3 linked regions of the Schizosaccharomyces pombe genome follow. The protein of the gene in region 1 binds, or shares a complex with, the protein of each later gene. Each region holds a gene or a part of one and is shown in the gene's direction. Other genes may lie near its edges. The genes, in order: mrps17, rsm24 and rsm10.

Region 1 (3,439 bases):
ACCATTTTGATCGTTTACATCTCGATATATTTATTTGTTGTTAGATTCTCTCTTTTGAAGGATTATTGTTGTTCATATACTTAACTACTTGGCTAGTTAAAAAATAAATAATAAATAGCATTCCTAAAAAGTCGTTATGTTTACGACTCATTTACTTGACTGTATTCCCATCTTAGAATTGAAATTTATAAGTCGTCTTTTGTTGTATATAATTTAACTTAATACATGGAGTATTGAGAAATTCAAAGAGTTTTGTCATTTGCTTTTTTTGGCTATGGTTGACCATCCTCCCGTATCTAACCAGACACCAAGGTGCAAATGTGTTCTGTTGAGAAAATTGTGAGGTTGAGGCATAACTTGTTGTGTCACGTTCGAATTCATTTTAAAACAAAAGAAGACCTTGATATTCGGGCTTTCCTTTTTTCCCTACAGCGTGAATTGCATGCAGTTGCATTTCTCAACCAAGGATCCATCCGCACGCTCTACGAGAAAAGAGTAGTGGATATTACGAGTGAATCGGTCCAAAGCCATGCAATCATCGAAACTGCTAGAAATTTTGCACTACCAAATACTGCTGAAGAGGAGGAAAACATGGATCGAAAGCCAGAATTGCAGTTGAGTTTTAAAGGATCAATGACTAGTAAAATAATACATATTTATGTACAACCATTCGATTCATGAAAGAATGTATTTTGCGCCTTTTTACGTCTGCATGACTAAAATACACTCTATTTACAGCCTAATCTCATAAAAAACAAGTATTAAAAATTTGAGAAGTGAAAAAGCTGCTCAATTTAACTCGTATTCGTATTTTGGCGGATCACGTTCTTCTATACTTTTAACTACATCTTCTTATGACACGGATTACAAAGGCTTAAAAAATATAAGAGTTATTTCGATCCCAATTTTCAATTTTCAAACCAAAAACTTGAATTTTTATTATCCCCCAAAATACAAAAAAGATAAAACCAATTGCTCCCAGCAATAATGCTCATTTAATGATACCAAAAGATATAAGAATAGTACATCCTCTTTAACGACGTCTTTTCTGGACAACGGTGAATCCATCATCATCAACAATGGGTCCCTGCTGCTTTTCCTGCTGATTTTGAGCAGCTCCTCCATCCTCAGCATCAACAATCGTTTCGTCTTCTACCAATACCGGAGGATTTGACTCTTCTCTAGTTTTTTCCTTTCCTTCCTCCTTTTCAAGCAATTGTTTTCCGAGACGCTCATGGATTTCACGAATAGGTTCATAATTATCTTCGCAAGCAGCTTTCCACACATTAACCAAATCTTGAGCCAACTAAATAGACTGTTAATAGACGTATCACTTGATAATTATTTTAAATGCTAATAGAAGTAAAAAATTTTTAATATAGACAACAGAACGCAATATGTGTATAAACTCGAGCTTTTGACTAATATTCCAATATTTCGTCCTCAAACTTAAATCATTTTTTCGGTGCCAATATATATATACGAATCTTCAGTCTCAAGCAAGCTTGTTACGTTCTTTCTTGTTTGAAAAAAATCTTTACCTAATTTAGTATTGGTGAATACTTACGATATAGGGTGAGTCGTCTTCTATTGAACCAACATTGAATTCATCCTGCAGGACTTGAAGAATCAATTCTTCAACGTCCCATGCTTCCACATCGCTCGTAACTGTAATATAATCAACTAAAACTCCTGCCATCCAGTCTCGTTTATCGGCGGTATCGACATCGGCCCATTCTTCTTCAACAGCCTGTTTCATAACAGGCCATGAACATAAAAGAACACCGACAGCATATTCAAAATATGTCAGTCTCTTAGATGGGTCGTCAAACATGGCGAAAACACAGTGTCAATAACCCTCGTTCTTCTTCTCTACAAAGTCACCCTACCATAAAGTACTTTAAAATAAAATACACATACTTTTCCGATCCTCGTTATGTTGTTTATCACATTTATATATTATCATTAATTGACTTAAGGAAAGCTTATTTATGTTAAATAATTATAAGGGAAAAGACGCCGCTTCATTGCACATTTGTAAATAGGGCAATGTCAAAACTCTCTACTGCTAAAACGGTGCGCATTGATAACTTAGTTATTGTGGGTATTTAAAGGATTAGACTTACTTACTTTTCTTGTTTAATCCTAAAATTACTCTGAAGAATGAAGCTAAATTATGTGGGAATCGTGATTTCTCGTGCAATGCCAAAAACAGCGAAAGTGCGGGTTGCAAAAGAAAAGTTCCATCCAGTGGTGAAAAAGTATGTCACCCAATATCAAAACTATATGGTTCAAGATGATTTAAATTGTAATGTTGGAGATGCAGTTACAATACAGCCATGTAGGCCTCGGTCAGCGACTAAACGCTTTGAAATCATAAAAATCTTAAGCACAGCCAACCGTATGAGCCCAGCATCGGAGATTTCGAAAGAGTAAATAAAAAATCCCCATTAATTTTTGATGATTCCTAATGATTTCGATTGATCCATTGTGATAAGTCTTTCGCGGTGGTCATGAATATTGTAAATCGGTGATTGACCGCTCTTTCTTAACTTGCCAATTACCTGTATACACCGATATCGATTTTAACTGGAAATTTTTACATTCACAATGGCTACGTAATGTTGCAAATTGTAGATTGTGCATCAGAAGAGTCTCAAATCACATTCATTTCTAAAAGAAAACTACTCTTGTAGTACCATGTTTCCTGCTCCCAGCATTCAATGCCTTTAAATTTGTTTACAACTATGTCAATAATACTTCTGTAACATCTTTTTTTGTAAAAAGGGCAAGTGATTGAACAAGATGCATATAGACAGTAATATATTCAAAATAAAGCTTACAAAACATAATAAGTTGGGATTAAGTCTTAAGCAAATTTAAAACATCGTATACATTAACCCATAGCTGTATATCTTAACAAACTGGGGAATCATGAAAATACGTTGCAAACGATTGAATGAAAAACATACTTGTTCAACTAAGACGGTGCTCATAAGAAAGCGACAATGTATAAAGGATCATGACTAAAGCTTTAGCATGTCAGTAGGTCCTTTCGAAGAGCAAAACAGTCAGTAGCATATTTTATTAACAAAAAAATGAGCAAAGGATTCAACTTAATTAATACAAAGCTTTCAATCCCATCTCTACAGCAGCTGATCCCCAATCATTTCCATGGTTATGGCCACCATTCAAACCTGCACGATAAAGAGCTTGCTCTTCATTTAAAACTGTTAATAGACCTAGAATGACGGGAACACCTGAATCAAGGCCAACGCGCATAAGACCATGAACAACAGCTTCTGAAATATATTCAAAATGCATGGTGGAACCTTTGATTAAAACGCCAATGCCAATAACAGCATCATATGTATTGCGGGCGATGGAAGCACGAATACCTTGAGGAAGTTCCCAACTTCCCGGAACACTTTCAATGTCA
Region 2 (3,427 bases), on another chromosome or scaffold:
CTAAAGGTAAAATGATGATGGGTTAGTAAATTTGAAATATTCGATGGATTAAATAAGAAGCTGGGGAAAAATTATGCAAAAACTATTAATAAGAAGAAAGAATTGTCATTAAAATCAAATTGTATACATTAGTCAACCTTGGTCAGAAGAGGTCTGATGAAAGCTATGAATCAACGAAGAAAAAATGGAAATAATGCTTTATTCTTCAATAATTATCAATATTCAAACTTAATAAACGGCTAAGTTTACAAATTATAAAGCCATTAACACTTTCAACACTTTTTTAAATTTTATTTTATCAGGGCAGATTTACGATACTTCATGAATTGTTAATAGTCAATTAATTTCAACAAAATTTTTAATTAATTATTTTAAATTATCCATGTCAATTCCATCACAATGTCAAGCCAAATTGTATTAAAGCAATATTGCAATGGAATAAATTAATAAAATATCGTTGTCTGAAGATTTCTGTAATAGGTTATTTATTCAATTATTTTATAATTTTTTTTTTTTTTTTTTTTTTTTTACAAATGACTCATGTAAACATTAACAGTCTAATATTACTGTCTACAGATTGTTATATGCATTGACTTCCATTCGTGTTGAGTACTCTAAAATACTCAGCTCCTTAACATTTTTGCAAAGAACAAGTTATGTGGGTCAAGGTATTTAGTTTTTACTTAACTTAAAAGTAATACAATACAAACATTGTAAACATCACGGTTAAAGAACCCAATTAAGCACTATTTCACGTTCATAATAATATAGTTAAATAAAAAATACAGATTTTTTAAATCAAGTTCAATAAAAGATTATTTCGTAAAAAATTTTTTATTTTACTTTGATAGGCTTGAATTAACACATACAGGGAATAATAATGACTAGACGCTGAGCAGATGACTTGCCATCACTCTGTTTACCCCATTTTCTTAAAAACATTGCGTCTTTTTCTTATATTTAAATCATTCTTAAATGGAGTTTCCTGTTTTCTCATGAAACTTACAATTGAATCGAACTTCTTTTAATTATTTACTAAATAGCGCTAGTAATGAAAGTGCAATATTATCTAGCTGCGCATTGTAGTATCTTGTTTGACTTCTGTGAGTTTTCATTGTGATCGGTAATATCATATTATATATAGGTGTGATGTGGGTAGCAATTTGTTGTAAGTATTTATACATGGGTTACGTTGTTACCTGCCATTAATTAACATATAAACGAACCTGTTTCTGTTCAGATGTACTCTGTTTATAATCTTTTGGAGTAAACATGATCAAACACAAACAAGTACTCAAAAGAATAGTTATCAGCAATTATTAGTAAACGAATCTTAAATCTATCCTAACAGATGACATATAGTGATACGCAGCGTAACGTAGTGTAGTCTTGCTTACGAAAATCAAAATATAAGGATAACTAACACACTTTTTAAACAGCGAATGCCAAAAAAGGATGGGAAGCAAGTGCTATTAAATTCCTAAGAAAAAAAAAAGCTTGAAAGTATTATTAGGTGTTTTTATTCAATAGATGTTATAAATGCAATTGAGTAGAATCGATGCTATTTTACGTTACTAACCTTCATTCCAGTCTATTATGTGGTTTTTACTGGTTCTAACTACTAAGATTTAGTGTGTTATAATTATATACAACGAAGTCAAGTCAAGGACAACAATGTTTATACATTCTTCACTATCCCCTTCAAGTACCTTTTTGTAGCTTATTTAATTGTTTTGAGCATTTGGATTGTTAAATTTTAGAAAAAAAGTTTTTGTTAGATTCAGATTTCCATTTATAACGGCCACTCTTTTCGTTTCAAAGAAAATATAAAATCCGGTATCATACACTACTGCGCATTCGTTAAATGTGGTTTATTTTTTTTTATAATACAAATATTACATATATTTAGTGTTTTGGGTGGTTATAAAATGGCTTTTAATCCCCTTTTATCTTTATTGAAAGCAGATGCCATATTCCTCGGGCAACTTTCCAAATCAAGCTTTTGTGCTACTAGTAGAGCTTTCTCTGTTTTCTATTTTACAAGATTTAAGCGAAGTGCTTATGTGTCAGCGCCTTTTGGAATCGAGCCTCATGACGAGAAGGAATTGAAAACAATTGATGATAACGTCCATTCCAATAATCTATCATGGCAGAAAATACAAGAGCACGAGGTCATACGTGAATTGTATAGGAAAGCTGCTTATGAGCTTCCTGGACTTACGCGTAAGTTTACTGGGTAGTTTTACCTTAGGAATTCTATTTCACAATCACTTTAATATGCTTAATGTTCCATTTTCTCTGACAATTATAGCTTACACACAGTCTTTTAAAAAGCCTGCTGATAGCCAGATCTTTAGGTTTGAATCTGATGTCCAAATGTCTTCGTTTGAGAAAATGAATCCGAAGGTCGTTGTTACATTTAAAGTTACGAATATTCCTTTGCTAGAGGAGAAACAACGACATGTATTACGATTATTGGTTGGACCAAGATATAATCCGGAGGAGGATTTAGTCAGAATATCTTCCGACAAGTATTCTTCTGCACTACAAAATAAATATCATCTTATAAAGATATTAACTTCGCTCATTGAAGAATCGAAGAGAAATGCTGAAAAATTTTCACATGTCCCATTGAATACTGGCCATTGGAAATACAAGAAGTGTGATAAACGGATGCCACAGGAATGGCTCGCAGACGCAACTACACTCACTTCTAAAAAGAAAACAACGATTGGCAAGCAATCACATAATACAGTACTTGAACGAGAATCGATAGCAACTACAGATGAATAATATGAAAGGAAAGTTTGTTTAAGTTACTATTAAAATTAACGAGTCTATAATGTAAGCTAATATTGAAGGAATTAATCCTTCTCATTACTATATTAAGATGAAATAAAACTGTAGTATAAAAGGTACTGTTTCTCTAATCATAAATTTCTAACGGAGGGATTTTGTCAATACTACTGAGCCAATTTCTTGCGTTTGATTCGGTAGACATCCATTTTAATGGAAGTTCTACCAACTGTCCCCGAATGCCACGTAGTAAGTCGTAAACTACACGTTTGTCAGGAACTTGTAAACCATTATTAGTACGGGTTTTTGGTTTCTCTGTCTTCGAATCTTCACTTGCACTCGTGTTACCACTACCTTGGGAACCAGCCTTTGGATTTTTTGGATCATTCTCTGACTTTTCATGAGTTTCGTGTAGATTTGACAACTCCTCCTGACGCCAGCGGGCTTGCTCTTCTTTAAAGCGTTTTCCATATTTTTTCCACTCATTATATGATTCCCACGTTAGCATCTCGTCATCCGGTACACATCGAAATATGTGCCGATAAATAGTAGTATTGTTTGAAGCCACTTTAGACCATATGTCTTCAAAAAATTCATCGCAGACGGGGTCCTCAAAGCTTGAAGCGTCAAA
Region 3 (3,761 bases), 2.7 Mb from region 1:
TTCCAAGTTCCCCGATTCGTGTAAACTACGAATGATCCCCAAAGCTGTACCATAACCTGAGGTAGCTAAAGATCCAGTGTTGCAATGGGTCAAAACGGTGAGCTTGTCTTTATCTTTGTAATGCTGCAACAAGAATTTTCGGCCAGCAGTTCCAATATTGTGGTTGTCTTCTAAATCTTTTACTAGCATACGCTCCGCTTCCTGAATAATTTTATTTCGACAATTTTTTCCTTCTTGAAGAGCAATGCCTTGCATAAACTTTGCAGTTTCAAAAAGATTGACAGCGGTAGGACGAGACTGTTTGAGATGCTCAAAGCTATTTATAACATATTCTTTTGCATCTGCATCTTCAGAAAGATGTTTTAATCCGACAGCCACACTCAAAGCTGCTACAATAGCAATAGCTGGGGCCCCACGAACTTGCATTTTTTTTATGACAGCGAATGCGTCTTCTACATTACTAACTGAAATGTATTTACGCTCGTACGGAAGAAGTAATTGGTCTAATACAAGAAGCTTGTCCTCATTATAAATGATTGCTTGCAACGACATTCTGCCCAAATTTTTGAATATCTCTGCCTTTGAAAACTTTTACTTCACTAGCGCACGAACGCACATGCATCAGATAAAATTAAAGGATTTGATGAAGCTCGTAGCGATGCATTAATAGAAATAATGAATTAATATAAAGTTACACTGTGTAGTTTACTTAGGAACAAAAAATAGTACATTAAGTTTAATATAAATTTATAAGAAGAGTTAACGCAGTCTTTCGTACTTTTGACACTGCTTATAGATAGATAAAATTAGCAACCCTAACTTAATATTGTGCTTCTTATTTATCCGCACTATTTGATATGCATCTAACATTTTGAACGCGTAAACAAAAAATTTAGACTCATTCAAAGATGTAAGTTCCATCGTCAAATTATATTACCAAGTTATTTTGATAATGAGTATGGTGCCTTGAATTATAGATTAAAAAATGTATCACCGAATTTATTTTTAATAATGAGTCGATCTGACATATTAGAATCAAGGAATAATAATATGCATTGATGTTTTATGAAGGAATTACAGCTGTAGAACCTATGTATACAAACTTCAAACTTTTAAAGATGAGAACGATATATTTTTTTCGTTTTCCAGAAAAGCCATGCTTGAAGTATTTATCAAGATGTTCGGTAGTGTCAATTTAATAATCATATGTGCGACTTTGACTTTGACATGCAGCAAGAAGTTGTTGACACCAACCTATCTGCTTGAAAAGTGATACTCGTTTGCAATACTTAAATATATATATATATATATCAGTGATCGCAAGTCAGTTTTGAATGCAGGATTGGTAAACAAGGGTCGCAAGTTAATATATTTATATAGCTGTCTGCTGTAACAGTTTAACATACAACCTTGAAACTGTAAAACATTGAATATTTTTCATTGTTAAAGCCAATTTAAATGAGAACGATTATTGTGTTACGAGGTAAGCATTTAATTCCAAAATCCCTATGTATTCTTGTAGTATAAAGTAATTTGAATGACAAATCAGTAGATTCTTCCATAATTGCAAGTAGGATGCCAGTCCCAAACCTTTAATTCCTAGCTCAAAAGCACAATTGTTCAGTTCACACTTTTGTTAACTTCCGGAATTTGTTATTGTAAAATAATTGTCTCCTCATAATTTTAAAAAATTACATCTCATTGCTGACTGAGAACTCTCATCATACTGGTCAATTTTAAATTGTGCTGAAAGCCTTATAATCACAAATATTCATGTTTAATCGAATTTTTTTGGTTTTCTTCACTATGGTGCATCAATAATATTTTTAGTACAGTACAATCACACCCACCTTTGAATTCTAAACTTTGACCTTCAAATGCAAATAAAAAATTTATAGTTAGATCGTTCCATCATAGTATAAATTACAGAATGATATTGCTTTTTTAAAATAAATGTTACCATCTACGTGTTTTTCAAGGTATTCACGCGCGAACGACATTTAAAATGATTTCGCTCCGCTTGTTTATGTTCAATTAAAACATTGATTAATAACCCCTTAGTCCTACGATAATTGTGTTAAACTGAATATGATGGTGGATGACAAGTGTAGCTCGACCATTACTCCCCACTCCAACCAAAAAATTTTGTTAAAAAAAAACACCTTTACAGTGTTTAATTGTTGGAATTTTGTTCTTGTGGTTTTCTTAACAAGTATTTTAAGTAACCGGCTAAAATATTAATCATGAAACGGTATATGTTTGGTACATTACCTCGCGTGCAACCGAAACGTTGTTTCCAGACAGCTATTGGCAAAGAATCACCGTATGTATTCAATCCTTTCCTCTAATTTAAGCTATAATTTTGTACATTCTAACCCCAATTTATTAGCAAAGGGAACAGCGAAAAGGATCAACTTTTTGAGAATCCATTTTTTCAACAGCTTCCTTCCAACGTTGCAGCTGTATATTTGAACCCTGTTAAATTCAATCCTTCTGAAAACGACGTACTTTGTGCTTCTCTAAAAATTAAAAGCTTTGAAACTCCAAAACTTGATACGTTTACCGACTTCATTTGTCGAACAGCGTATTACATGAAAATTCCAATCAAGGGTCCACGTCCATTACCCAACAAAGTAGAAAGCTGGACTTTACTCCGATCACCTTTTATTCACAAATCTTCTCAGGAGAATTTTGAACGTATTACGCACTCTCGACTTATACAACTGTACAGTGTCAATCCAGTTACTTTAGAAACGTTTTTTAGTTATTTACGAAAATGCAACATGTGGGATTTAAAATTGCAAGCAAAAGCTTATGAATACGAATCCATCGATGATGCCCTTAAAAACTTCGAGTCACAGTCTAAGTCTACTGATAATTTCAAAGAATTGTTAAACGGTCCTTCGAAAAAAGATATAATCACACAAAATGCCGAAAAATTGCTCAGAAACGACCCCATTTACAAAGATTTGTTAAAAAATTCATCTCGAAAATAAAAATTAACTAATGTGTTTTCAATTACTCTGATGTTGGACCGTTTATTAGCAAAAATACTCTGACTGTATTCGTACTTTTTTTTTTAACAATATGACACTAGCTTTTCTTCATTAAAAGTGTTCTTTAACTAAAAACGTTACGAATAGTCCACACTTGTTTCGTTAGTTTTCCTCACCAGTAATTTTTGAAGTTTCTTGGGGATTGCTTTTCGAAAGAACAAAACCCGCAAGTGCCTTAGGTCCTTCAGATTTTTCCATTTCAAGCTGTTCCATTGGATCCATTGGTGCTGCTGCACTTTCAATTTTAGCTGCTCTCTTCGCTATATGAAGGGAATCAGTGCTAAACTTAGTTTGTACAGACCGTTTAATACGAAGCATTTCTTTAACTGTTTCTTCTGGATTTCCGTACCTTATTTCAAATTCTTGCCATGCTTTCCAATAATCCGTTTCAACTCTTGGATCACAGTATTGACTTCCATGAATATATATTAAACGAGCACGATCGATTTCACCAAGTTTCGTCTCCATTTCAGCAAACCTTAAGCACATATCTTTGACTTCTGAGTCACTCAGGGATTCAATAGCCTTCTCATAAACTGTCCTTGTCGCCAGTACACCATAATTTAATGCCACTTTAACGAGTAACACATTGTAAATAGCAAGACGGTCTGCTGTTTTAACCTTGTCGGCCGCTTTTTCTAAAATAGAAATGGATCTTTTTGCTTTGCCAAACTTTTCTTCGAAATCGGCATACAGAAGATAAAT

What was found.
Region 2: mrps17 (region 1) and rsm24 share a complex: the UniProt entries of both Schizosaccharomyces pombe proteins name them as parts of the mitochondrial small ribosomal subunit.
Region 3: mrps17 (region 1) and rsm10 share a complex: the UniProt entries of both Schizosaccharomyces pombe proteins name them as parts of the mitochondrial small ribosomal subunit.

The regions. Positions count from the first base shown.
Region 1 is NC_003423.3:1,165,929-1,169,367, reverse strand, and holds mrps17 (mitochondrial 37S ribosomal protein uS17m), read left to right. Parts: upstream 1-2,070; 5' UTR 2,071-2,163; coding exon 2,164-2,436; 3' UTR 2,437-2,848; downstream 2,849-3,439. Other genes in the region: DNA recombination protein Saw1, read left to right, coding at 319-681; rRNA processing protein Tsr2, read right to left, coding at 1,034-1,306, 1,568-1,834; rib4 (6,7-dimethyl-8-ribityllumazine synthase), read right to left, coding at 3,121-3,439. UniProt on the Schizosaccharomyces pombe protein: Component of the mitochondrial ribosome (mitoribosome), a dedicated translation machinery responsible for the synthesis of mitochondrial genome-encoded proteins, including at least some of the essential transmembrane subunits of the mitochondrial respiratory chain.
Region 2 is NC_003424.3:562,242-565,668, forward strand, and holds rsm24 (mitochondrial 37S ribosomal protein mS35), read left to right. Parts: upstream 1-1,684; 5' UTR 1,685-1,928; coding exon 1,929-2,223; intron 2,224-2,232; exon of another isoform or gene 2,233-2,311; coding exon 2,312-2,793; 3' UTR 2,794-2,832; downstream 2,833-3,427. Other genes in the region: phospholipase D Pld1, read right to left, coding at 2,927-3,427. UniProt on the Schizosaccharomyces pombe protein: Component of the mitochondrial ribosome (mitoribosome), a dedicated translation machinery responsible for the synthesis of mitochondrial genome-encoded proteins, including at least some of the essential transmembrane subunits of the mitochondrial respiratory chain.
Region 3 is NC_003423.3:3,868,050-3,871,810, forward strand, and holds the start of rsm10 (mitochondrial 37S ribosomal protein uS10m), read left to right. Parts: upstream 1-2,118; 5' UTR 2,119-2,243; coding exon 2,244-2,323; intron 2,324-2,389; coding exon 2,390-2,996; 3' UTR 2,997-3,158; coding exon of another isoform or gene 3,159-3,761. Other genes in the region: mri1 (methylthioribose-1-phosphate isomerase), read right to left, coding at 1-552; protein Cwf3, read right to left, coding at 3,159-3,761. UniProt on the Schizosaccharomyces pombe protein: Component of the mitochondrial ribosome (mitoribosome), a dedicated translation machinery responsible for the synthesis of mitochondrial genome-encoded proteins, including at least some of the essential transmembrane subunits of the mitochondrial respiratory chain.